3 linked regions of the Arabidopsis thaliana genome follow. The protein of the gene in region 2 interacts with the protein of the main gene of each other region in a pairwise test. Each region holds a gene or a part of one and is shown on either strand. Other genes may lie near its edges.

What was found.
Region 1: the proteins of AT1G22882 (region 2) and AT5G44920 interact in a protein complementation assay, tested with the Arabidopsis thaliana proteins (one study listed by BioGRID).
Region 3: the proteins of AT1G22882 (region 2) and SUN2 interact in a protein complementation assay, tested with the Arabidopsis thaliana proteins (one study listed by BioGRID).

The regions. Positions count from the first base shown.
Region 1 is NC_003076.8:18,133,837-18,140,690, reverse strand, and holds AT5G44920 (Toll-Interleukin-Resistance (TIR) domain family protein), read right to left. Parts: upstream 1,917-6,854; 5' UTR 1,727-1,916; coding exon 1,224-1,726; intron 962-1,223; coding exon 697-961; 3' UTR 501-696; downstream 1-500. Other genes in the region: ARAD2 (Exostosin family protein), read left to right, coding at 1-65; AT5G44910 (Toll-Interleukin-Resistance (TIR) domain family protein), read right to left, coding at 2,456-2,711, 2,868-3,337; AT5G44900 (Toll-Interleukin-Resistance (TIR) domain family protein), read right to left, coding at 4,308-4,575, 4,706-5,196. UniProt on the Arabidopsis thaliana protein: Could play a role in nuclear morphology, specifically nuclear size.
Region 2 is NC_003070.9:8,094,438-8,103,082, reverse strand, and holds AT1G22882 (Galactose-binding protein), read right to left. Parts: upstream 4,692-8,645; 5' UTR 4,148-4,691; intron 3,968-4,147; 5' UTR 3,934-3,967; coding exon 3,780-3,933; intron 3,692-3,779; coding exon 1,863-3,691; 3' UTR 1,619-1,862; downstream 1-1,618. Other genes in the region: AT1G22890 (uncharacterized protein), read right to left, coding at 127-232; AT1G22885 (uncharacterized protein), read right to left, coding at 950-1,053, 1,370-1,475; CEL5 (cellulase 5), read right to left, coding at 5,544-6,037, 6,107-6,218, 6,297-6,446, 6,534-7,037, 7,119-7,313.
Region 3 is NC_003074.8:3,356,299-3,364,283, reverse strand, and holds SUN2 (SAD1/UNC-84 domain protein 2), read left to right. Parts: upstream 1-3,581; 5' UTR 3,582-3,761; coding exon 3,762-4,841; intron 4,842-5,440; coding exon 5,441-5,728; 3' UTR 5,729-5,996; downstream 5,997-7,985. Other genes in the region: ASD1 (alpha-L-arabinofuranosidase 1), read left to right, coding at 1-53, 181-383, 484-605, 709-862, 985-1,054, 1,196-1,341, 1,420-1,465, 1,556-1,608 and 8 more; AT3G10720 (Plant invertase/pectin methylesterase inhibitor superfamily), read left to right, coding at 6,703-7,503. UniProt on the Arabidopsis thaliana protein: Component of SUN-protein-containing multivariate complexes also called LINC complexes which link the nucleoskeleton and cytoskeleton by providing versatile outer nuclear membrane attachment sites for cytoskeletal filaments.

The sequences.
Region 1 (6,854 bases), on a different chromosome or scaffold from region 2:
ATGGAAGTGACCCTCAATGTTCTTGTTTATGCTCAAACCAAACCGGGATCATCCATGGTGTCTAGTAAGGTTAAATGCCTAGCAAGCTCATGCTAAGCAACAAAATGTGATCATTATTAATGATGAATCAAAGACTGGAAAGGTAAAGAAATGTGATCATTTAGTCCTTATAAATTATAACTAGAACCATTCTTTGTTCTTCGTTTTTTCCCAAATACATGACTCAGTACGCCTTTCTAAGCCTTTTCTTTTTATATAGGAACAACAAGAGAAACCACATCACTCTCTAATTCCGGGTCAAGGGTTTGATCAAGAATGCGCGTTTCCTGGTGGGTTTTGACTTTGGGAGTGTTAAATATCAAGAGAGATTCAAGCAAAGAGAGGTACATTTTATCTTTTAATTTGCTAATACTCAAAGACCACCACACAAGTGATGAAATCAACCATTTACATTATTAGCTAACCAATGGAGAAGCAAAAGACTTTTAGGGCAATGAGAATTTCTAGTCATAGAGCCTACACAGAGAACAGAAACAGAGTAATACAAAGCACAAGTTTGTTCTTTAAAATAGTAACTGACAATTACAACACAATTATTAACAAAGAGACACACAAATGTACAAAGCAACCAAATGATCTTTAACACCCCATTTAAACAACACACAAACAAACAGCATAAAGTTGCACAAAAGCCACTTATGAAGGAGGTGGTGCTTTGTTCTGGTTATTTTTGTACCAAAACCACGACGCAAGAACAACTGCCAGAGTACCTATGAACCATTCAGGAGTCTGGAAAAACTTCTGATCAGGGAGATACTTAGGGGCAATGAAGAAACTAAAGATCAAGTTGATGGTTATAGCCAAGAAAGCAACTCCTATAGCTGACCAACTGTTGTCAGTTGGTATGTTTAGCTGTTTCTTAACCTCCTTAACAATATCCAAAACAAAATCGGTATCGTGTCTGCAAAAAAAAAAATTATAACATGAGTTAGAGAAAGAAGAAGATGATGCAAGTAGGTTTTTACTTTTTTTTGGTTATATCAATAATACAAGAATCATCAAGAAAACTCGAGCGGTCAAGTTTCGGCATATATCGCTCGGTCAAGTGGGTTGGTGCCTTGGTGGATTTGCGGAAAACTCCTTACCAAAGAGATCTACTAATCAAAGATCAGTCGGGCATAGATCCAAACATAATCAAGAATACATGTATTTTGAAGTATTACTTGTACTTTGAGTTTGACCGGGAAAACCCTATTCTTTTTGTCACAGATCTCAGGGCACGCTCCCAACCCTCGACCCTCTCAGGCTCCCCTGCATGGTTTTGCTTCAGTTGCTTAAAAGGAAGGGAAAACTCTCCATCAAGATTGCCTTCTCCATCGGGATTGGCTGCTCTTTTTACATCGTCCGATCTTACGTTATAGAAGATTGGAATCACCACGAGTTTCTTTTCCTTCATCTGTTCATTCATCGTCACAAGCTCATCCAAACACCACTTTGACTCACAGTACCTCTTGGAGAAGATAGCAAGCGCGATTTTTGACTTCTTGATCCTTGTGAAGAGATATTGTAGTCTTCTCCCTTTCTGCTCTTTAGTGTCTATGAAGACGTTGATCCCTGCGTTTCTTAATTGCAGCTCTAGATGGTTGACAAAGATTTCGCGCAGCTCATCTCCTCGGAAGTTGATAAACACCTGATCAGAAAGAGGTTCTTGGACCTGCTCATCCATTGGAATGGTGTCTAGGTTCGTCTGAATAAAAAATAGTGAATATAGTTGGTGAGAGACTTTGTTGTCTCACTTTGTCCTTTAAAATACATTACAGAGAAACGATTCTTTAATTCTTCAGACCAATCAGTGGCTCGATGCCAAGTCTGCGCCTATCCTCAGTCTTTCTTTAATATTATACAACATTATTGTCTCAATGGATCCAAATACTCTAAATCCTGGGTCATGGGTCGGGTAAATAATGTTTTTGAAGACAAACTATAAAGAGTGAAACAACTAAACAGAGATGTAATCTATAGCCAAACAGTGCAAAACTGTTAAGTTTCCAATATCGATACCTCCGATTCCTTAACCAAACCAGTACACACTAACACACCATACACGAGAGAGACTAGCACATCACTAGGTCAGCTCTCAGTACACCATATGAGAGAGACTAGCACATCACTAGCTCAACTCTCAAGTCTCTCATGCAAGACTCACACAATTCAACAACAATCAACAATAAGCATAGATTCTCTAAATCGATATCTCTCCTTATTTATACTCCCAAGCCTGCAACCGCAAACCCTTTGTCATGCCCAGAGACTTTGCTTTCCTTCCCAGCTCATCACACAGTCAACACACACAGTCAACGGTGTTGACTGCCTCTGCTTCTTTCTTTTCTTTACTTGCTTCTCCAATCGTATCAAAAGCCATTTGACCACAAGTTGGTGATTAATCAAGAGGTCATCATCTGTTTGGTTGGGTCCGTAGACAGTAAAGCTGGTGCAAGATACCAGCCAAAACTGGAAACCCTAGTAAACACTTAACAGCTTTATTAACTTTCACATCAGTGCATAGTAAACGAGCTACAATGAGACTACAGATAAAAACCGCAGCTGAAGCCAAAACAAACACTTGTCCTTTAGTAATATTTTGTCTTTCAGAGTCCATTAGCTCGCTCTTAACCGCCGTGACGATTGCCCTCACAAGACCTAAACCCGTTCTGCAAACATATGTCAGGAAGAAACCGTTAAATGAGCTCAAATAAGTAGTCTTCCTAAGAACAAATTAACAAGAATTGACTAAAAAAAAAATTCATAGAAAATTCAAAACAGTTTGTGTTTTCACTACTTATAAATTTCATCAAAAGAATAATTACCCGTGGTCTTCGGAGGTTAAGCCGGTCCGCTCTACTATTGAACTCAATGAATCCTCCCACTTCAAGATCTTGAGTGGATCGTTTGCGTATTTCTCCCTCAGTTCCTCGAAATGATTACCGAATTCATCCTCGAGGTTCTTTACACCGCTTATGCTCACATCATAGAAGACAGGTATCACCTTAAGGTTGCTTTGTTCTACGTGCTCGTACATCTTTTGAAGCTCGTTCAAGCACATCTCTGACTCTGTATACCTCTTGGAGAAGATGACGACCGCGATATTCGACTCCTCGATCTTTGTGGAAATATTTCGTATGTCTCTCCTATTTGCTTCTGCTCTGTCTACGAAAACGTTGACTCTCTCGTCTCTCAATCCCCACACAAGATATTTGATGAAATTGTCGCGCGATTCGTTTCCATAGAAACTAATGAATACTTGAGGAGGACGTTGGTACGGTGGTGGTTCTGCCATGGGAGGGTTGAGAGTTGAGACTTTCTTGCTTTAATTTTTCTTCATGAATATATGGAGAAGAAGAAGCTGGAAAAGTAAAAGATTCATTTCTTGTTTTGGACCAATTCATTTCAAAAGTCAAAGCATTTATTTCTTTTTTAGGAAAAATTCATTTCAAAAGTCAACTCTTGGCAACTGTCTTCTTTATTATTTTTTATGGAAAAATTGGAAATATAGGACAAATATTTAGATATTTGTTCATCTATATTCAATGAACAAATGTAAACTATCCTTAAACTATTCTTGTATTAGATATTTAGATTTAACTACTTTTTTTTCAAAAAAAGGTCATAATAATTCATAAGAAATTGTTGAGTGTCCCTAAAAACACGAGATGTCTAATGAAGTCATCAAGCAGCTCGGTAGTCGTGGTCGTGCTGGATCCATTATTGAGCTTTGGTCAAGCACGACCACGACTACCGAGCTGCTTGATGACTTCATTAGACATCTCGTGTTTTTAGGGACACTCAACAACTTCATATGAATTATTCTGACCTTTTTTTGAGCTTTGGTCAAGCGAAGAGACTATGTGTTTCTTTGGGTTTTAACTGTTTGGAATAGAGAAGCGGAGACTTTGGGAACTTTTTGCACAAGAAAAATAAAGCAAAAGAGTGAAAAGTGGTTACTTTGAAAGAAACATTTATCTTTAGATTTGTATTTTTTCTTCTATTTCAAGATCATAACCAAATAAAACATGTGGAAGTCTCATTGATCTAGTAGTTGACCAAAAGTCTTAGGTGGTAGGTTATAAAGGAGATAGTGTTATTAATCGTAATCACTTTTATCAATAATTGATGCAAGGTCAAACTAATCGAAATCAAATTATTTCATAGAAAAAAATATCGAATGCAACAATGTGTAACCAAAATGAAACTCTCAGTCTCAGATTCTTTGCGTTTACGTATTCTCATAGAAACGCAAACGTTACCATTCACCACTCACTTTCCACAGCTCGATTGATTATCAAACGACCCACAAGAAAAGAGAAAAAAGTGAGAAGGCCTAAAACATAAGGACCAAAAACTATTGTAAAAAGAAGAAACAGACTTAGGAACCGGACAACAAGTCTAATCAATTCATCTGTTCTTGCCGCCAAATGGTTGCGCTTCTCTTCAGCAATTTGTCGTTCGATCTCGGCGATATCGTTTAGAACTTTCTTAACCTCCTCGACGATTGTGTTGACCAAATCATTCTGGCGACTGTCATAACAGAGTTCAAAAGATCTGTCAGTGAACAAGCTTATGTCCTGAACTAACCAAGAACAGAGTCAAGAAACAGAGTATTCCAAGTTTCCAACAAAGAACATAAGCAAAGGGACAAAGTCCAGACCTGTATCGTGACGAAGACAAGCCAGTTTTCTTAGAAACATACAGTATAGCATCTTTCCATCTCCGATAAGTTTCAGGCTCGCCGCGATGCGTTAACTTCAGGTCCCGGAAGTTGTCTCCAAAATTCCCCTTCAGTTTCTTCACATCGTCTGTTTTCATCTTAAAGAAGATAGGAATCACTGTAAGACTTTCTTGATCCACACATTCTTTGATCTTAGCAAGCTCATCTAAGCACCATCTTGAGTTGGTGAAGTTCTTGGAGAAGATTGTCAATGCGACTCTCGATTCCTCGATCCTACTGAAGAGATGATCAAGATCTCTGCCTCTAAGCTCATGATCATCTATAAAAACGTTGACATTCTCTTTTAAAAGAGCATCCACAAGAAACCCTAGGAACCCATCACGAAGTTTTTCGCCTCGGAAGTTGATGAACACTTGATACTGAGGCGGGATCGGTCCAACGTCGGTAAAGAGGGAGAAGGAGGCGCCCATGGAAGGTAATGGTTTTTGAGGAAACTATTTGCTGAGGAAAAACAAGAAGTATTTTTTTCTGTAAGAACGTTTGATTCAATGGTTTCATTGTGTTTTACTTAATCATAATTGATTCCATTATTAATCATTGATCTACAAAGAAGATTAGAATAGTTGACCGGATTTGAGTGAGCCTTAAATTAATCCATATAATCTTAACTGCAAAACTGGGTAGTTGGTTACACAATCAAAAAACAAAACAAAAACTAGACAAAGAGACACAGTAGTAATCCATGTCAATACAATAAAATATCATACAACTAAAACAAGAAAATCAAATAACCACTTAGCATTCTTAAAATGTCTCATATAACCAATTGCGAGGCAACAAAACTTGCTAATCACTGATCATGTATGTGAAGCTCTTTCTTAACCGCTTTTAACTCTCCACGAAAACACCAAAACCCGTTACGCAATATGCATCAGAGAAACCAACGAGACCGGGCCAACAGAAGTATATAGTACTCTTCTCGGTTATAAGACAATAAATTAATTTAATGTTCTCATAGCTAGCTGCTAGTTAGACAAAAATAATCACATATATATCAACTATAAAAATCATCAAGAAATCAATTAATACCCCACCTGTATAGTTAGACTTTACTTATATCCACACACAGATCACAAGTCATAATGGCATTCATAAGATATAAAAAAAATCATTGAGACCATCTCAATGTAATTCTAAAATAGAGCATGATTTCTTTCCAATGTATCACTCTAAAATAGAGGCAGTGTAAATAAAATAGAGTTACTATATATCTAGAACAATCCTACCATTTACTATATTTTAGAGTAACATATAGAGAGAAGTTGAAGCCAATGTATTCTAAAATAGAGTTTTAGAGAAAAAATAGAGTAGGGTTAGAGATGCTGCAAAAAACGCATTAGACAAGTGAGCCCCACTCTTGATCATTTTGCTTATGATACAATTATTCTAGCTAGGGATCATCCATGCGATTTAAAATTAAGATCAAAGACACGAAATAGTGTAAGGTACTCTAGTAACATAACACAAACAATAAAACCGAATTGGCTTTTAATGTTTCTTTACCTAAGACTTTTAAACCCTTTTAATCACATATACCGAAAAATTTGGGACCTAATTAAACCCCAAGTTTCCATCATTCATGAAGTATCACGAAATATTATCTCTGACTTTCTGAGGTGTGGGCGGTTATGTTTGCAGTCAATCTTCACTAGTTCCTCCAAGCACTATTTGACTTTGGGAACCTCTTGGAGAAGATCAAACCCGAAATTTCGAGTACATAAATTTTTTCAAGAGGTGTTGTAACTTGTAAGTTTCCCCTGTTCCGCTTGAAGCCATCTATACAGACATTGACCCCTCGAAATCTAAAGTTGGCGATAGAACGGTGGTTGGTCACTGGTCGGAGGTACCTTGCGGAAGACGTTAACACACAAAAATGCCCTGGGATTTAGAACGCATTAAATCTTTGTTAAAATATTTGTTTTAAAAAAATAGTTGAGTAGTATGCATATGTGTCCCGGGTAAAGCCGGCTATTTTCTTAATTAACTTCACGGAACTTAAGGGACACTAGTCAATCCATTGCCGGTGGCTATAGATATTCTGCAGCTCGGCCGTGTCTTGCCAATGCCC
Region 2 (8,645 bases):
AACAAAAAAAATCTATAAATATAATAACAAAGAAGGTGAATACAAATATAAGTTATATAACAATATGTATATAGACGAGACGAGACCTATATTATAAGCATGAAAATGAGTGTAAAAAATACTAACGTAGGTTGCGTTTGGCCTCGCCTAGTCCAACTTGTGAGGAGATAGATAGAAGCAGAAGAAACAAAGAGAGAAGAAGAGCAACTAAATTTGATGTTTTTGCAGCCATTTTGCTAATTTAGTGTTCTACTCTCTCTCAATTTCATAACAAAGACTAGCTTCAGGATGATTTATATAATAAAAGCTTCCTTGAAATGTAAAAGGCTAAAGGATAAGCATCGCTGAAATGTACTAGTCGCCAACTACATTTCTATTCAACGCGCCTTTAATTTTCCATACGAAAGTCTCTTGGCTCACGTCCTGTTCTGTTTAAATTTATTTCTTCCACCTACTTAGGTTGAATTTTAGACAACTATACAAACCATATAGGATATATATTTTTGTCATATAGCCAAATATTTATCTGTGAGTACAATTTTTTCGTGGTTTTGTCACAAATTGTTACGAAAACAATGACAGTGATTAAGTTCAATCCGTAGTCATCTCTGACCAGTACTAAAACACGACATAGTCATAACATTTCTTCGTGATTATGACAACTGATTTAGCCACAATTGTTTAAGGTTAATTGGCAACAGATTTATAACTTTCAACTGCAATGGTGATTTAGCCACTGAAAGTAGTGGAAAATTAGCTATGATAAATACATGGCCAAACCACTAGAACCGACAACATATATATATAACCAAATACCGTTAAAATATCTTAAAAAGTGATATGATCGAAAACGTAATTATATGAAATCACAATACAACATTAATCTCGAGTCTCTTGAGTCTTGACAATTATAGTTTCTTCTCCATCACTTGTCAAAAAGTACTTTGGCTTATGGACCTTTTCCTTTGCGCGATTTAGACGGCGGCAGATATATAGGGGCGGTGGGAGGGCGAGGGTAATCATAATCCACACGCTGTTCTTGTCCTTGACCTGCTTATTAACAATATATATGTCATTCACCATAAGCTTTTAACTATCTACATATGATTTCTTCTTCACATAAAACATAACTTTTAACTTTTCTTTAACATATGATTATATAATGAAACATGATCTAAAAACAATACATCTACAAATCCAGACAAAGATTTTTCATGAGGAAAAAACAGATTAATCTTCACAGTTTTACATAAGAAGAAAATGATGAAGATATAAAGATGAGAGACTGATAGAAAGTCATTGGATATGTAAGCTTCTTCTTTCAGAAAAACCAATATATAGGAAAGAAAAAGATCGAATATGTACTAACGTTTGTTGCGTGTGGCGTCGGCGACTCCAACTTGAAAGGATATCAATAAGAACAGAAGAAGCAAAGAGAGAAGAAAAACAACTAAATTTGATGCTTTTGTAGCCATTGCTTAAAATAAGTTGTCGATCAAAGTCTCCCACAAATTCAATATATAACGAAGACCAGCTCCTCTGTTATTTAAGAAAATGAAGCCTCGTTGAAAGTTGTAGTACTCACGGGTCCCTTGTACCCACTCACCTACTATATCCACTCAACGCACTTACTTTCACTTTTACTTACGTCCGCAAAAGAATTATGCCCATTTTTTTCAATTTTTCTATAGACTATATAAGAAGACTTCATTGTATCGAATACAATCTATGTTACAAATTAGGCATTAGATTATTGAGAAAATTGCTAAGTATATGTATGTGTGCCGGTTATTGAAAAACAAGGTATATTTCATCCATTGGTAACATGACTCTACAGTGTAAAAATAAGACCAAAACTCTCATCAAAGAGACAAAACGAACATAATGAATGTTGAGCTAATCAATAACAAGAGCCAAGCCCCACTACCGGTCTTCTCTGCTAGACCAGTTCCCATACCAATCACAACTGCAATAACCGCAATAATGCCAAACCCTAGACATACGGTGAAAACCGTTAAGCATTTCTTCTCCATCCACTCAAGTCTTTTACTTACTTGCTCAAGACTCTGTCTTATGTTTTCCTTCTCTTTCTCTGCTTTCTCCATCTCTGCCTCCACTCTCTTTCGCCACTCTTTCATCTCCTCTGCTTCACTCACCATCCCCTCTTGCCTTTCCTTCATACCTTCCAAGTCAAGTCTCAAAGCCACAATCGCCTTTTCTCTCACACCGGCTTCACGGTCCATCTCCTTGAATATGTTCCCGTATCTCAGGTTCAGTTCCTCTAAGTATCTCTCTAGAATCGATAGGTTCAAGTCCAATGACCTTAACTTCTGCATCAGTATCTTCAGTACTGTGTCCCCTGGCATTCTGCTCCCTGGCTGATGATGCCTCATCTCTTCCACGGGCTCTGACAGCTTATTACTACTCTTCGCCATTGATGCTTCAGTCTTCGCTAACATATTCTCTGGTGGGGCTTCCTTCTCTTTCTCTCTGTGCGTGCTCTTATCAGCACCATCATCGCCTTCAAGTGACTCTATTTGCTGCATTGGCTTCTCCTTATGCTCAGAATCTCCTTCTCGGGGTTTGTATGCATTTTTGTTGTCCTGGACAGATATCAAATCCTCCAGCATTCGTTCTACGGCATCCACACCGTAGACTTCTATTAAACTCAAGGTGCAGTAGAATTCTGAACCATAATGACTAATAAAGTTTAGCTTTAAGTATCTCACCCACTTTGGCTCAAGAAGTGTGAAGTTCTGCTCATGCTTCACGTTTGAAGCCGTGAAGTTTCCCATATGAACCCAGGTATCAGTGGGATAAACTAGGGTGCCTTGAAGCTCAAACTCTTTCAGATTGGAAGAGTAATGCTCAAAATTCGCGATCTTGATGGTATTTACCAAAGTTTCTTCTGAAAGTTCTACAACAACAAATTTACCTTCAGTAGAACAAGGATTTCTGAGGTACTTGTCATTGTCCCTGCTTAGGATGCTTGCAGCCCCCTTTGCTTCCTTGTTGGAAGACAAGACCTTTGCGCCTTTTGAAGCAGATGCATAATTGTACTCTTTCCCTCCAGGCTCCATCCTGTGAATCACACCACTGACCTGATCTGATAACGATTTGTTTCGAGAATTGGACGCTCTGCTCTTGAACTCATCAAGGCCAAGCGGAACCGCACGAGATGGTTGATCAACCTTTGAAACGTTGATCTCGGTACCATTCCCTAAAACTGTTTTGTTCATCTGATTTTGCTCCAAGAACTCATTGTCACTGCTTTCTGTATCATTCCCTGTGCCTGTCTTGTTCAATTGACTTTGCTTCAAAAAGTTATTATCGTCTTTGCCTTCTGTATCATTCCACGTACCTGTATTGTTAATCTCACTTTTCTTGGGAAAGTCATCATATTTGCTTCCTGCATCAATCCCTGTATCTTTCTTATTTATCTCACTTTGCTTCAAAAGGTAAGTGTCCTTGCTTTCAATATCATTCCCTGAAACTGTGCTACTGATCTCTGCTTCCTGTTCTTTGTCTTCACTTTCTTCAGACAGGTTTACATCATCATTCCGACTCAAATCAGACGTAACATCAACAGAAGCAGACGCTAAGGATAATGGTCCATCAAAGGGCACAACTTTCTCATCTGACTGACCATCATCCGGATCAGCCATTCCCATAGAGTCGTTCAAAGGCTCATCTACAAGTACACAAGAGTTGGTTCTTAACATGCTTTAAGGTAATAAAACGACAATGATGTCCACCAAAGAAAAGAACTTGAAGGTTACCTTTGGCACCATCTCCATGACTAATCAACAAGGTGGAAAAGAAGAGAAGAACCCAAAGGAGAAAAACAAGAGACAAAGAGACTTTGTAAAAGCTGTTCCTTCCATTAAACTTGTTCACAGAAACTCTTCTTCTAGTTCTACACGACCTTTGCATTGCACATCCACTAAACGATTACACAGGACACGCCCTGTTACCAGCAAATACACATTAGATGTCAAAGTTAATCAACTTATAGTATAAACCCAGAAAGACAAAGACTTTTAATAAACTCAAGCTGCAAATAAGGAATTTGAGTTCCAAGATCTGATTTTTTGGTGCGTGGATTACACAATAGACCGGAAAAGTGATCGGAGAAAGAAAGAATCACCTGAGAGAGAATCGAAGAAAGAAGATATGTGTGATCAGCAAACAACCCAGAAGAGGAGGAGGATTGGGTACGCTAACGTAGACGTCTCCGATGAGTCTCTAATGGATTGAATCTAGGCCAATGATTTTCCGGCGATATCTTTCGTCTCCGCATCACTAACGACGAAGCGTACACGGTTCACCAGTTTCGATGTTTCTGGGAATCTATATGAAGAAGAAGAATCACACGAGGTTTTTAACTGCGGCGGTGAAAGAAGAGTCAAAGAGACTTCAAATTGACAAAAATTTTGATTAGAGAGAGAGGCGAAGAAGAAGAAGAAGAAGATGGATTGGTCCAGGGTTTACAAATTTCGGCAATTTTATTGATTGATTGATTTTATTTTAGTTTAGGTTTATTCCTTTTTACGGAAAGTTACAATTTCCGAAATTTTGTGCTCTGTGTTTATCGTTTTCCATACATGTATGTTGAACTCGTAACTTTAATGGATTTCATAAAATTAATTAGAAGTGTTGATGAGTTAGTTATAACAACACAATTTAGAATTGGACAATGATGTTAAGCCTAGAGTTCTCTTTTGAGTTTTGGGTTACTATTTTGAAGCAAGTTTTGAAGACTAATAAAAAGGTCTATATATAAATATTTAAACAAAAAAGGTCTATAGAATGTCAACTTCTTAATAAAATTGTGAACTGATTATTGGGACTATATGCCTCGACAAAATAAAACACTTTAATTTCGGACAGGGAAAACGACAAAAAGGTAAGTGGAAAAAAGAGAAAGAAGGAAGATGATGAGCTGTGATTTGTGCGGCACGTTAACGTGAAAGCCAGCTTTCGATTGTGTTCCCTTCACAGCTGGCGATTTTCAATCCTTCTTCTTATACGTCGTTTTATACTTCAATATATTGTTTTATAATCTTTTCGGTTTAGTTAACTCATCTACTGGACAAAATCATTCTTCATCTTATTATATCATCGATGAACCAAATGAAAAAGTCTTCGTAGTGATTTATTTAGCCAATAATCCGAAAGTTACATATTCAGGAAACAACATTGTCACTGTGATGGTAGTTTTATTGGAAGCATGGCGTAAAACTCGCTATATAAGTTCGACCATTGCCAAGTTGATATTGATGGTGTCACTTAGTTTCGAATCATTAGTCGTCTCGAAAAAGGGTTAATTACACCACATAAGATTAATCCCTCTGTTCAGTTCCGTAACCACTTAAGAGCCAAAGATGGGCGTTTCTAATTAGTTCATTAATGATGGACCTAAAAGCCCATTAGAGTTTACATCTGAAATAGCCTTACCCATTACGCGGTAAGGGTTTTAGACTAACCGATTTATCTAACCAACTTTTCAAATCAAAGCAACCAACTTTAAAGTGAGTGGCGATTTACGGCGATCGGCTGGCGGCGAAATACGCCAATGGTCCGACGAATGCGGCGTTGATGTATGTAGCTGGCTCTGATCGGGTGTAATCGTCTCTCTGGTCTGGATACTCATCGTTTTGATTCGGTCCTCCGACAATTGCTCCGGTTAATATGTTAGGGTTAGGGTTTTGTGTTCTGAATGATTGGAATCCGCCGTTACAGCCCAGAGAATTGGAACGGACGGCTCGGCTCGGGAGAGAGGAACCTCTGTGATGGATTCTTTTGGGGAAATTGGAGCTGAATCCAACCATGTACGACATCTTCATTGGATTCACACCGAGGACGTAATCGACTTGTCGCTTCGATAGATTTATCAGTGCGTTGGGGACGATTAGTGAGTTTCCGCAGTTGAAAGTTTGTTTTGTGGATTTCATATATTTGGCGTAGGTGGTGAGCAAGAATGTTATTGATGTCACGTATTGTAGATTGCTCTGAGGTAGTTTGTACATCAGTCCACCTGAAAGTTATAGCTTTTAGTATTTGAGTAATTGAAATGCTTTTGGAGAGAACTCTGTGTTGAGTTTACCTTTAGTGTACTTTGTTGACGAGGATGGAGAATTTGGAAGGATCTTACACATGAAATTCTCAGCTGCTTGCTTGTAGAGTTCAAAGTTGTTGTCTTTGTTTAGTACTGCTCGCTGCGAAAGAAATGTGTTTGTAAATCATTGAAGGAAATGGTTAAGTTATGTCTAGGAATTTTAAGGATTGAGACATACTCGTGAGAGAAGAACATAGGCACCGGCGTATTTATTGTCCCAACTGAAGATGTCAGGCTGATCTCCTCCTCCTAAGGATTTTATGAAGTTTGTGTAATACGGGTCGTTGGTTGCTCTATGTAGCCATGCTGCTCCCCATAGTAGCTCGTCCTGATATCATAAGAGTAGTTAAGTTTTCAACGATTCATTGATATGTCTTTCTCAGTTTTGGAACAATGTAAACATATGAATCTCTACCTTGTAGCCAGAGTAGGAGCAGTAGAACGGACAGACGGAAGAGGAAAGGGAATTACTGTAAGCGCCTCGGTATTGAATGGCAAACTGCATGACCTTCTTTGCTGTCGCCAAGAGCAAGCGAGAGTACTTGGGATCTACTTTCCTGAAAACCATGGAGCTTGCAGCTAGAGCAGCAGCGGTTTCAGCGGCTACATCAGAGCCAGGGTTTGAGGGAGATACAGAGTAGACTGTGCGAGGAGTGTCCATATCTTCTGGTCGTTCCCAGCACTTGTGGTCACCATTAGGATCTCCTACTCCAACGTAAAGCTTCCCTGGTGTAGCCCTGGCACATTTCAGTAGATAATCCGTGGCCCAACGGATGGCCACACGGGAGTTCTGGAGCTCGGGTCCCATCTTCTTACCGTACTCCAAAGAGCTCCAGGAAAGCATGGTTGTGGTGAACGCCATCGGGAAATTGAACTTCACATTGTCCCCAGCATCATAGTAGCCTCCGGTCAAGTCCACCTGCAACTCATACCGTGTTATTCAGATGGATTTACTATGCTTTTACTACTTGACTATGGGTATACAGTTTTAGGGTCTTACGTGAGCAGATGAGCCATCAGAGAGGCCAGAGCTAGACCTCCATGAGAGTTGTTGGTCACTAGGGAGGCGACCAGACCGCTGACCTTGGAAAAAGAGTAATGACTTTGAGAGTGCTTCTCTGTAATTGGGACTTGCATAGGTATTCTCCAGTGAAAGCGCAGAGAGAAGGAACACAAAGAAGAAAGGAGAAGCCATTCTTGTTATTGTGTTGGCTTGAGGGTACGACTTTATCACACACGTATATATATAGCTAGAGAAGGAGACCGGGGCTGATGAGATTCAGAGCGAAGATTATGGCTTTTTGAAATTCAGCTTAACTGCTAAAAAAACTGTTCTTAGTTACTTCAATTTGAATTTCCTTTTTAATTAATATTTTATAGAACTGACAAGTGGAGGATTACATGTATTATTCTGTAATCTTCTTAATATGTTCAATTTTTTTTTAACTAATAGTTTGATTACCACATAGGTTTGTCTATATGAGTTCACCGACACAAATTGGTAATTTCTTGGTAGTTTTGATGTTTGATACTTATCTTTTTTACCACAGTAAACTGTAATGAAGTGTATTTTAGATAGTGGCATTGCGTAATACGTACGATTAGGGGATAGATAAACAATGTCTTAAATCTTGATAATAGGGTAGTTAGTTAGGTAGTATTTAGTTTAGTTAGGTTAGGGATTTTGGGGATTATGATTTAGAAAAAAGGAGGGTACGTAAATGGCGCCAAGATAACGGCGACGGGTCTATAGGAGGACTTCAATTTAAAAGAGTTTCTCAAGTCAAGTGTGATTAACACGTAAATGATTCCTTAATCTCTTTATTATTGTCTTATTGTATAATCTTTTACATTATATACATACAAATGAAAATATCGAACTCACTTTCTTATATATATACATATTCTTAAATAATAACAATGGTAAAATGAAGTTATTTGATTGGAAAACGTACAGGAATACCATCTCGTAGAAGATGAAATTGATCTTAATTAACACTTAACAATATCCATAATCTTCTTACTCTATCACGATTCACAAGTTAAGGCATGAAAAACTCAAGGGGTTTTGCATAAAAGACGGCTATAAAAAGTTTATAAGAAAACTGAGATTTAAAGTTAAGCAAACAAAACACACTTTCTCTCGTTCCACAACGAATCCCTACATAATATTTCTTGATTCTTGTAGCAAAATCTCGATCTGGGAGATTCACGTGTAATATGATAACATCAGGTTGATCCTTTTTTTCACCCCCTGCGAAGTCTTTGGTAAATACTAAAGGGAATAGTAATAACAAACATTTCATACCAAAAGAAAATCGTTCTTAGCTTTTTCATCATCAAAGGCCCAAACATATCGTTTAGTAACATATTTTCTAAAATGATATATGTTCTAAAAGAAATATGCTGGCTAATTTGGTTAATCACTAGGGACTAAGTACCTTAAGAACTCGAGGGATAAAAAAAGGGTACAAGCATTGAATTGATACATAAGAAGATTTCAAATCTCTTGCAAAACATGTTATAC
Region 3 (7,985 bases), on a different chromosome or scaffold from region 2:
GATCAACCATGCTGGTGCCGGTGGATTATGGGCCGAACTTGTTAGCAACAGAGGTTAGTTTTTTTTAGCTTGTTACTACTGAAATCCATGGGAATCAATCGTTGTTTGGCTTCATTTTCTTTCTTTACATGATGAGAAAAAATGTGGTAGTAACTTTTAAGGAAAAACTTTGGTTTCCAGGGTTTGAAGCTGGTGGGCAAAACACACCCTCTAATATTTGGCCATGGTCCATTGTTGGTGATCATTCATCCATATATGTAGCTACAGACCGTTCATCATGTTTTGAACGGAATAAAATCGCACTGAGAATGGATGTGCTTTGTGATAGCAAAGGTTGTCCATCGGGAGGTGTCGGAGTTTATAACCCTGGTTACTGGGGCATGGTGAGTGTCAAATTGTGAACACTTTACAGCTCGGTTTTTTGTTTCCCTCGGTGTCAAGAGCATGGGTTTAGCTGTTTATTCATTTTCTATCTTCTGTTAGAATATTGAAGAAGGAAAGAAGTACAAGGTGGCTCTTTATGTGCGTTCGACTGGTGATATCGATTTGTCTGTGTCGTTGACGAGCTCGAATGGATCACGGACTCTTGCTTCTGAAAAGATCATGTGAGAAATAATTTCAGATTCTTCAGTTAAGTCTGAATATGTTTATTTTGCTGTTTCAGTGTGTGAAAGTTTCAATTGTATGCTTTCATTTGTTTCAATGTAGAGCTTCTGCTTCTGATGTTTCGAAATGGATTAAAAAAGAGGTTCTTTTGGAGGCAAAAGCGACCGATCCTAGTGCAAGACTTCAGTTAACAACAACCAAGAAAGGGTCAATATGGATTGACCAAGTCTCGGCCATGCCAGTGGATACTCACAAGGTTCTTTTTTCGCTCTCTCTGATTCCCTGTAGAGCCTTGAGATGGAAGATTACAGATTGCTAATAGAGAAAATATTGGAAGAAGAACTCTATCAAATACTCGATCTTTTTGGTTGATTGCAGGGACATGGTTTTAGAAACGATCTTTTCCAAATGATGGCCGATATAAAACCCCGTTTCATCCGGTTCCCAGGTACGTATTATTTAAGGCTAGTAGCATTTTTGTTACTTATTCTATCCATAGACGTACCTCTTAGTTCAATATGACAAAAAGCATGACTTAAGATGAAATAAGCTAAAGTCTATTCTTTACTCTGGATATTTGTGAATTTAGGTGGTTGTTTTGTCGAGGGTGAATGGTTAAGTAATGCCTTCCGCTGGAAAGAAACCGTAGGACCTTGGGAAGAGAGACCGGGCCATTTTGGTGATGTTTGGAAGTATTGGACCGATGATGGCCTTGGCCACTTTGAGTTCTTTCAAGTGAGACTTCTTCTTTTCTATTGAGTACATAATGATCCCCGAAGCTCGTTATTGAATATTAAATGAACATTCTTGCAGATGGCAGAAGACATCGGTGCAGCCCCGATATGGGTGTTTAACAACGGTATTCTTTCACTCTCCAAAAACTTAGTTGTAACTGACTTATATCATTTTGTCTTCCAATTCTGTCAACCTTATTTTTTACTTTGTGCAGGGATAAGTCACAATGATGAAGTTGAAACTGCCAGTATCATGCCCTTTGTTCAAGTATGATTACTAAACCTTCCTCTGTTTCACTAGTGAAGAAGCCGGAAAACCAAAACTTTCTCCTCTTTTTGTTTCAGGAAGCACTCGACGGTATCGAGTTTGCCCGAGGAGATGCCAATTCTACTTGGGGATCTGTTCGAGCTAAAATGGGACGCCAAGAACCTTTTGAACTTAAATACGTTGCTATTGGAAATGAAGATTGTGGGAAAACTTACTACAGAGGTTTTGCATTTCTCTATGATCACATCTTGACTTAGATTTTTGTTGAGCATCTTTGACACTAAATGAGATTACAACTTTACAGGAAACTACATTGTGTTCTATGATGCTATCAAGAAAGCCTATCCAGATATCAAAATCATCTCCAACTGCGATGGATCCTCTCATCCACTCGACCACCCAGCTGATTACTATGACTATCACGTAAAATTTTCTATCTTGACAGAAACTGTAACCGTTGTCTTGTGTTCTCTCTTCCGCCTGAAAAAAGTGTTTCCTTTTTGTCACAGATTTACACTTCTGCTAGCAATTTGTTTTCCATGTATCATCAATTTGATCGCACTTCACGCAAAGGTCCAAAGGTGCGGTAATAGATTATAACAAAACTTAATTCCAACAAACACAAGATGAAGCTTTCAGCGTTTTACTCACTCGTGAACTTTGTTTACAGGCTTTTGTCAGTGAATATGCTGTTACTGGAAAAGATGCTGGTACAGGAAGCCTTCTTGCCTCTCTTGCAGAAGCTGCGTTTCTCATTGGTCTTGAAAAGAATAGGTTCCCTTTGAATTTCTCTTCCCAGGCTTTGATCTCAACTAAAAACATCAAATAAGTTAAACATCTTATGACTTTTTGCAGTGACATTGTTGAAATGGCAAGTTATGCTCCACTCTTTGTGAACACAAATGATAGACGGTATCTCTCACTTACTTTTCCGTTCGAATGGTTACTCAGGAAGATAAGGCAATAATCTCAAATTGTTAAATTGGTTTCAGGTGGAACCCTGATGCAATAGTCTTCAACTCCTCTCATCTATATGGAACACCTAGCTATTGGGTTCAACGGTTTTTTGCAGAGTCAAGCGGAGCAACTCTTCTCACTTCAACACTCAAGGGAAACTCTACTTCTCTTGTTGCATCTGCTATCTCTTGGAAAAACAATGGCAAAGATTACATACGCATAAAGGTAAACCGAGTGAAAGATTCAACCGGAGCTCTGATATTGACCCTAAAAAACTGTTTCAAAATCTGTTATTTGCAGGCTGTAAACTTCGGAGCTAACTCAGAAAATATGCAAGTGTTGGTAACTGGATTGGACCCGAACGTGATGAGAGTTTCGGGATCAAAGAAGACAGTACTTACCTCTACCAATGTGATGGATGAAAATTCCTTCTCACAGCCAGAGAAGGTAAAAATCAAGAGATGGAAGAAACATCATTATCATCACAAATTCTGAGTGTTCCCATGTTCTTATTGGTTTTTATTTGCAGGTTGTACCACATGAAAGCTTGCTAGAGTTGGCAGAGGAGGATATGACCGTTGTTCTCCCGCCACATTCCTTTTCTTCATTCGATTTGTTGAAGGAATCTGCAAAGATAAGAATGCCAATCTCTGATTCTTCTTCCCATCAGAAAACTACCACTGTGTGAAGAGAAACAATGACAAGGAAGTATCAACTTTCATGTCAAAAGTCTCTTTGTGGTTCAAATCTAATTACATTCCATAAATGCTTATAACGTACCCTTGTGTATATATAATAATAGTCTGGTGAATAAATTTACTTTCTTTAATCATGAGCTTATCTCGACTCTAGATATCTTGATATGCAAGAATGATGAAGCAACAGTTTCTTCTTAGCATAAAAGAAGATGACGAGGCGTGAAAGTGGGCTGGGCCATTTTATTTCCATTATTGGGCTTTTAAAAGCCCATCATAATGAATTTTGAAAAAAATGGAGGAGCATCAAAACAAATAAAAATGGCGAAACTGAAGAACACACGATTCAGATTTTCAAAATTGAATTTTGTAGTGATCTCTCTCCTATATAAACTTCCTCACTCTTCTTCCATTTCAAATCTCTCTCTCTGTAGTCAAAATTAGGGTTTATTTATTCATAAGGAAGAGCATTTCGAATTCTGTAGTTCAAAATTGAAGATCATGTCGGCGTCAACGGTGTCAATCACCGCTAGTCCTAGGACAATAAGGCGGACGCCGGTTCTCTCCGGTGAGAAGAAATCTAATTTTGATTTCCCGCCGAGCGAATCTCATGCCAATGCGGCAATTGGAGAGTCGTCTGCTGGTACGAACAAGGATCTGATTCGCGCCGAGGCTGCCGGTGAGAGATCCAACACCTACGACGTAGGTCCGGTGACAAGGAAATCAGGATCCACCGCGACGGGGACTAATACAACCACCACGCAGCGTCGGACGCGGAAGTCTCAGGGGAATAAGATAGATAGAGGGAAATGGAAGACAGTGGTTAGGGTATTCGCGAAGCAATTTGGGGCTCTTTTGTTACTTGTTGGATTGATTCAGTTGATTAGGAAATTGACTTTGAAGGATTCGTCTCTGTCTTCTTCGAATTTCCCAATTGAAACGGAAATGGTGCTTTCGGAATTGGAGAGTCGGATTTCTGCAGTTGATGGTTTGGTGAAGACTACGACGAAGATGATGCAGGTTCAAGTTGAGTTTCTTGATAAGAAGATGGATAGTGAATCAAGAGCATTGAGGCAGACGATAGATTCCACATCTTCTGTGTTACATAGTGAGTTGAAGAAGGTAGAGTCTAAGACAGAGAGGTTACAGGTTTCTGTAGATGAGTTAAATGCTAAACCTTTGGTGTCTAGAGAGGAGTTAGAGAGAGTTTACGAGGAGTTGAAGAAGGGTAAGGTCGGTGATTCTGATGTTAACATTGATAAACTGAGGGCTTATGCTCGTGACATAGTGGAGAAAGAGATAGGGAAACATGTTGCAGATGGCCTTGGTCGAGTAGATTATGCGTTAGCGTCTGGTGGAGCTTTTGTAATGGGGCATTCGGATCCGTTTCTTGTTGGAAATGGGCGTAATTGGTTTGGGACAAGCAGGAGACGGGTTCATAGCAAAGCGGTTAAGATGTTAACTCCGAGTTTCGGGGAGCCTGGACAGTGTTTTCCTCTGAAAGGAAGCAATGGATATGTTCTAGTCAGGCTAAGAGCACCAATAATTCCAGAAGCTGTTACTTTGGAACATGTCTCTAAGGTAGTACTAACATCTCAATACTAAACTTTCACAAAATGATTGATTTTTATATGTTAATTTGAGCCTTCAAGAAGGGTTCTCTGTTAAATGTTGTTGGTATTGAGATGCCCTGTACTTCGGATTGGATTGCTGGTGACAATAGGTTATCGAATAGAGGGCAAGAAACTAGTTTTGTGAATTTGAGTTCTTATAGTTTGAGGTTTAGTTTAGGCACTAGCTGTGACAATATGCATTGAGGAGGATTTTACCTATTGTTATTTTCTGCAAATCACTAGCTTTAGCAGTTCCTTTGTCTAATATCAATGCCACTGTGTTGTTGTGCTTTGTTTGGGACATCGTTGACAGAGAAAAGAACCGTATGTATGGGAAGAGCTTGTAAGTTTACAATTAGTGGAACTGTAATATTCACTGTTTACGGATATCCTTAGGAAACAGTAGCTGAAGGGAAATAGTCTCAAGAGTGTGTAATGTGATGGTCACACATTGCTTTCCATCATTGTTCATCCTTGTGATCATTTGTCTGATAAATTTCTTCTTGTCTGACCACTAAAAGGCAATACTAATCTTACGGTTATGTTATGCACCATTTAATCGAACAGGCTGTAGCATATGACAGATCGAGCGCCCCAAAGGATTGCCGTGTATCAGGATGGCTAGGTGACATAGATATGGAGACTGAGACAATGCCCCTTCTTACAGAATTCAGTTACGACTTAGACAGGTCCAATGCACAGACATTCGACATTGCAGACTCTGCTCACTCAGGACTTGTCAACACTGTCAGGCTAGACTTCAATTCCAACCATGGAAGCTCTTCACACACTTGCATCTACCGCTTCAGGGTTCATGGCCGTGAACTAGACTCAGTCTCTGTTGCTCATGCTTGATCTGAAAGTCCACGTCAAACTTTTCTTCTCTTTGTAACATTCCCTCTAATAGATATCTCTCTTCTTTTTTTGTGTTAGTTTATGTGGTGGGAAAGCTTCTCTTAGTCTGTAATCAGAATCATTTGGTTGTATTCGTGATTATTAGCTTCAAATCTGTTTTGGTTCGGTTTATTTGGTCAGGGTATGTATCCTCCGAATTGAATAATATAGATCTTAGTTTGATGTCCGGTTTTGGTTTTGTAACAGAGTTTCAATTTAAGCTTTCACCTAAAACAAATCATACAAATTCTAATAGAGTATACATATTTCATTAGTTGAAACAAATATTGAATTTGGATTATTAATGGTTACCTTGGGTACTTGGTATTACAACGATATGTGATGAATAGGAAGAGTGTGTATATAGATGGACCATAACTTGTTAGTGTGAATTGCGTAATCGACAAAGTGACGACTTCTTCTTCTAGGCTGCACCGTCTTGCCTTGTCTAAAAGCTTCCCAACACATCACATGCAAAATCTACGGTCAAATAATAGATATGAAACCCTCTTCCAAGTCAACACAGCTTGTTTGATTATAAATTAAATTAAATACAAATTCATCTTTGACATGTCTGATTAATGTTAATTTTTTACAGTGTCAACTGGCATAACAAATTGAGCTAAACAAAATTAAGCTCTAAAAATAGCCATTTTTTACGGTTAAATCACATGAAGAAACCTTTCCTAACCAAGTCAACCCATGTTTGGTCGTCGTGACGGTGGACCACCGGCTCCAAAAAAACTCTTCATTTGACCAAAACGAGTATAACCCTTAATTATTAGACCAACATGCATTACATAAATGATAAATTCAGTTTCCCTCGAGCCCATGCATTCATTAAATAGCAGAAAGCTCCTCGTATAGTCTATATATATAGCAGATTTTAGATCCAAAATAACAAACACCATCAATACACAAACAAAACAAAAAGGATGAAAATGCAAACACTAAACTTCACTTCTTCTCTCTTGTTCTTGTCTTTTATCTTCCTCTCATGTGCTCTGCTTATCTCATCACAACAATCTCCATCACAGCCACATTCTGAGCCTCCGTCACAGCTACCTTTTGAGCCTCCGGTAGAGTCACCATTCTTCCCTCCGTCACAGCCACCAATATTCGTGCCACCGTCACAGCCACCTTCTTTGCCTCCGTCACAGTCTCAGTCACCTTCTCTCGCTTGCAAGTCAACTCCATACCCTAAGCTTTGCCGTACGATCCTCAACGCTGTCAAATCCTCACCGTCAGATCCTTACCGTTACGGCAAATTCACTATAAAGCAATGCCTCAAGCAAGCAAGCCGTCTATCCAAAGTCATCACCAGTTACGCGCGGCGCGTGGAAAGCAAACCAGGCTCGGCCACGGCCGAGGAAATAGGGGCGGTGGCGGACTGCGGCGAGTTATCGGAGCTGAGTGTGAACTACCTTGAAACCGTCACGACGGAGCTTAAGACGGCGCAGGTGATGACGGCAGCTCTCGTCGAGCATGTGAACAGTCTTCTCAGTGGTGTAGTGACGAATCAGCAGACGTGTCTTGACGGACTCGTGGAGGCTAAGAGTGGTTTCGCCGCCGCGATTGGTTCGCCGATGGGGAATCTCACTCGCCTTTACAGTATCTCGTTAGGACTTGTGAGCCACGCACTTAACCGTAACCTGAAGAGGTTTAAAGCCTCCAAAGGGAAGATTCTTGGTGGTGGGAACTCAACCTATCGCGAACCGCTCGAGACTTTGATTAAGGTAATTAATTAAAACTTGTTTCTAATTCTTTTCTTTTTTCGTTTTTGTTTGTTTGTTTATACTAGCTTTTATACATTCCTTTACATATTATTATAAAGTTGTTAATAATCTAGTTGTAAAGACATTACATATTTTTGAAATGGTTGGCATAGAGATATAAGAATAGGAATTTGGGGAAATACCAAAAACATTATATATATATATATATATATATGCCTTCTTATCATAAATCCTTAGAAAAAATCAAAACAGAGTTTTTAAATCGATGATTTATAATAATTTTTGTATGGTCACCACTCACCACAATTCAAACATGAATAATGAAAGGTTATGCAAAAGCCTTTTTGGACATACATGTATGAATAGATAAGCATCGTAGGAGGACATATACTAAGTTAAATATGGTATGAATTTACTACTTTGGACGCACGGAATGATTTAATATTCGTGCATATCTAAAATTTTCTAGATCGAGTCATAAA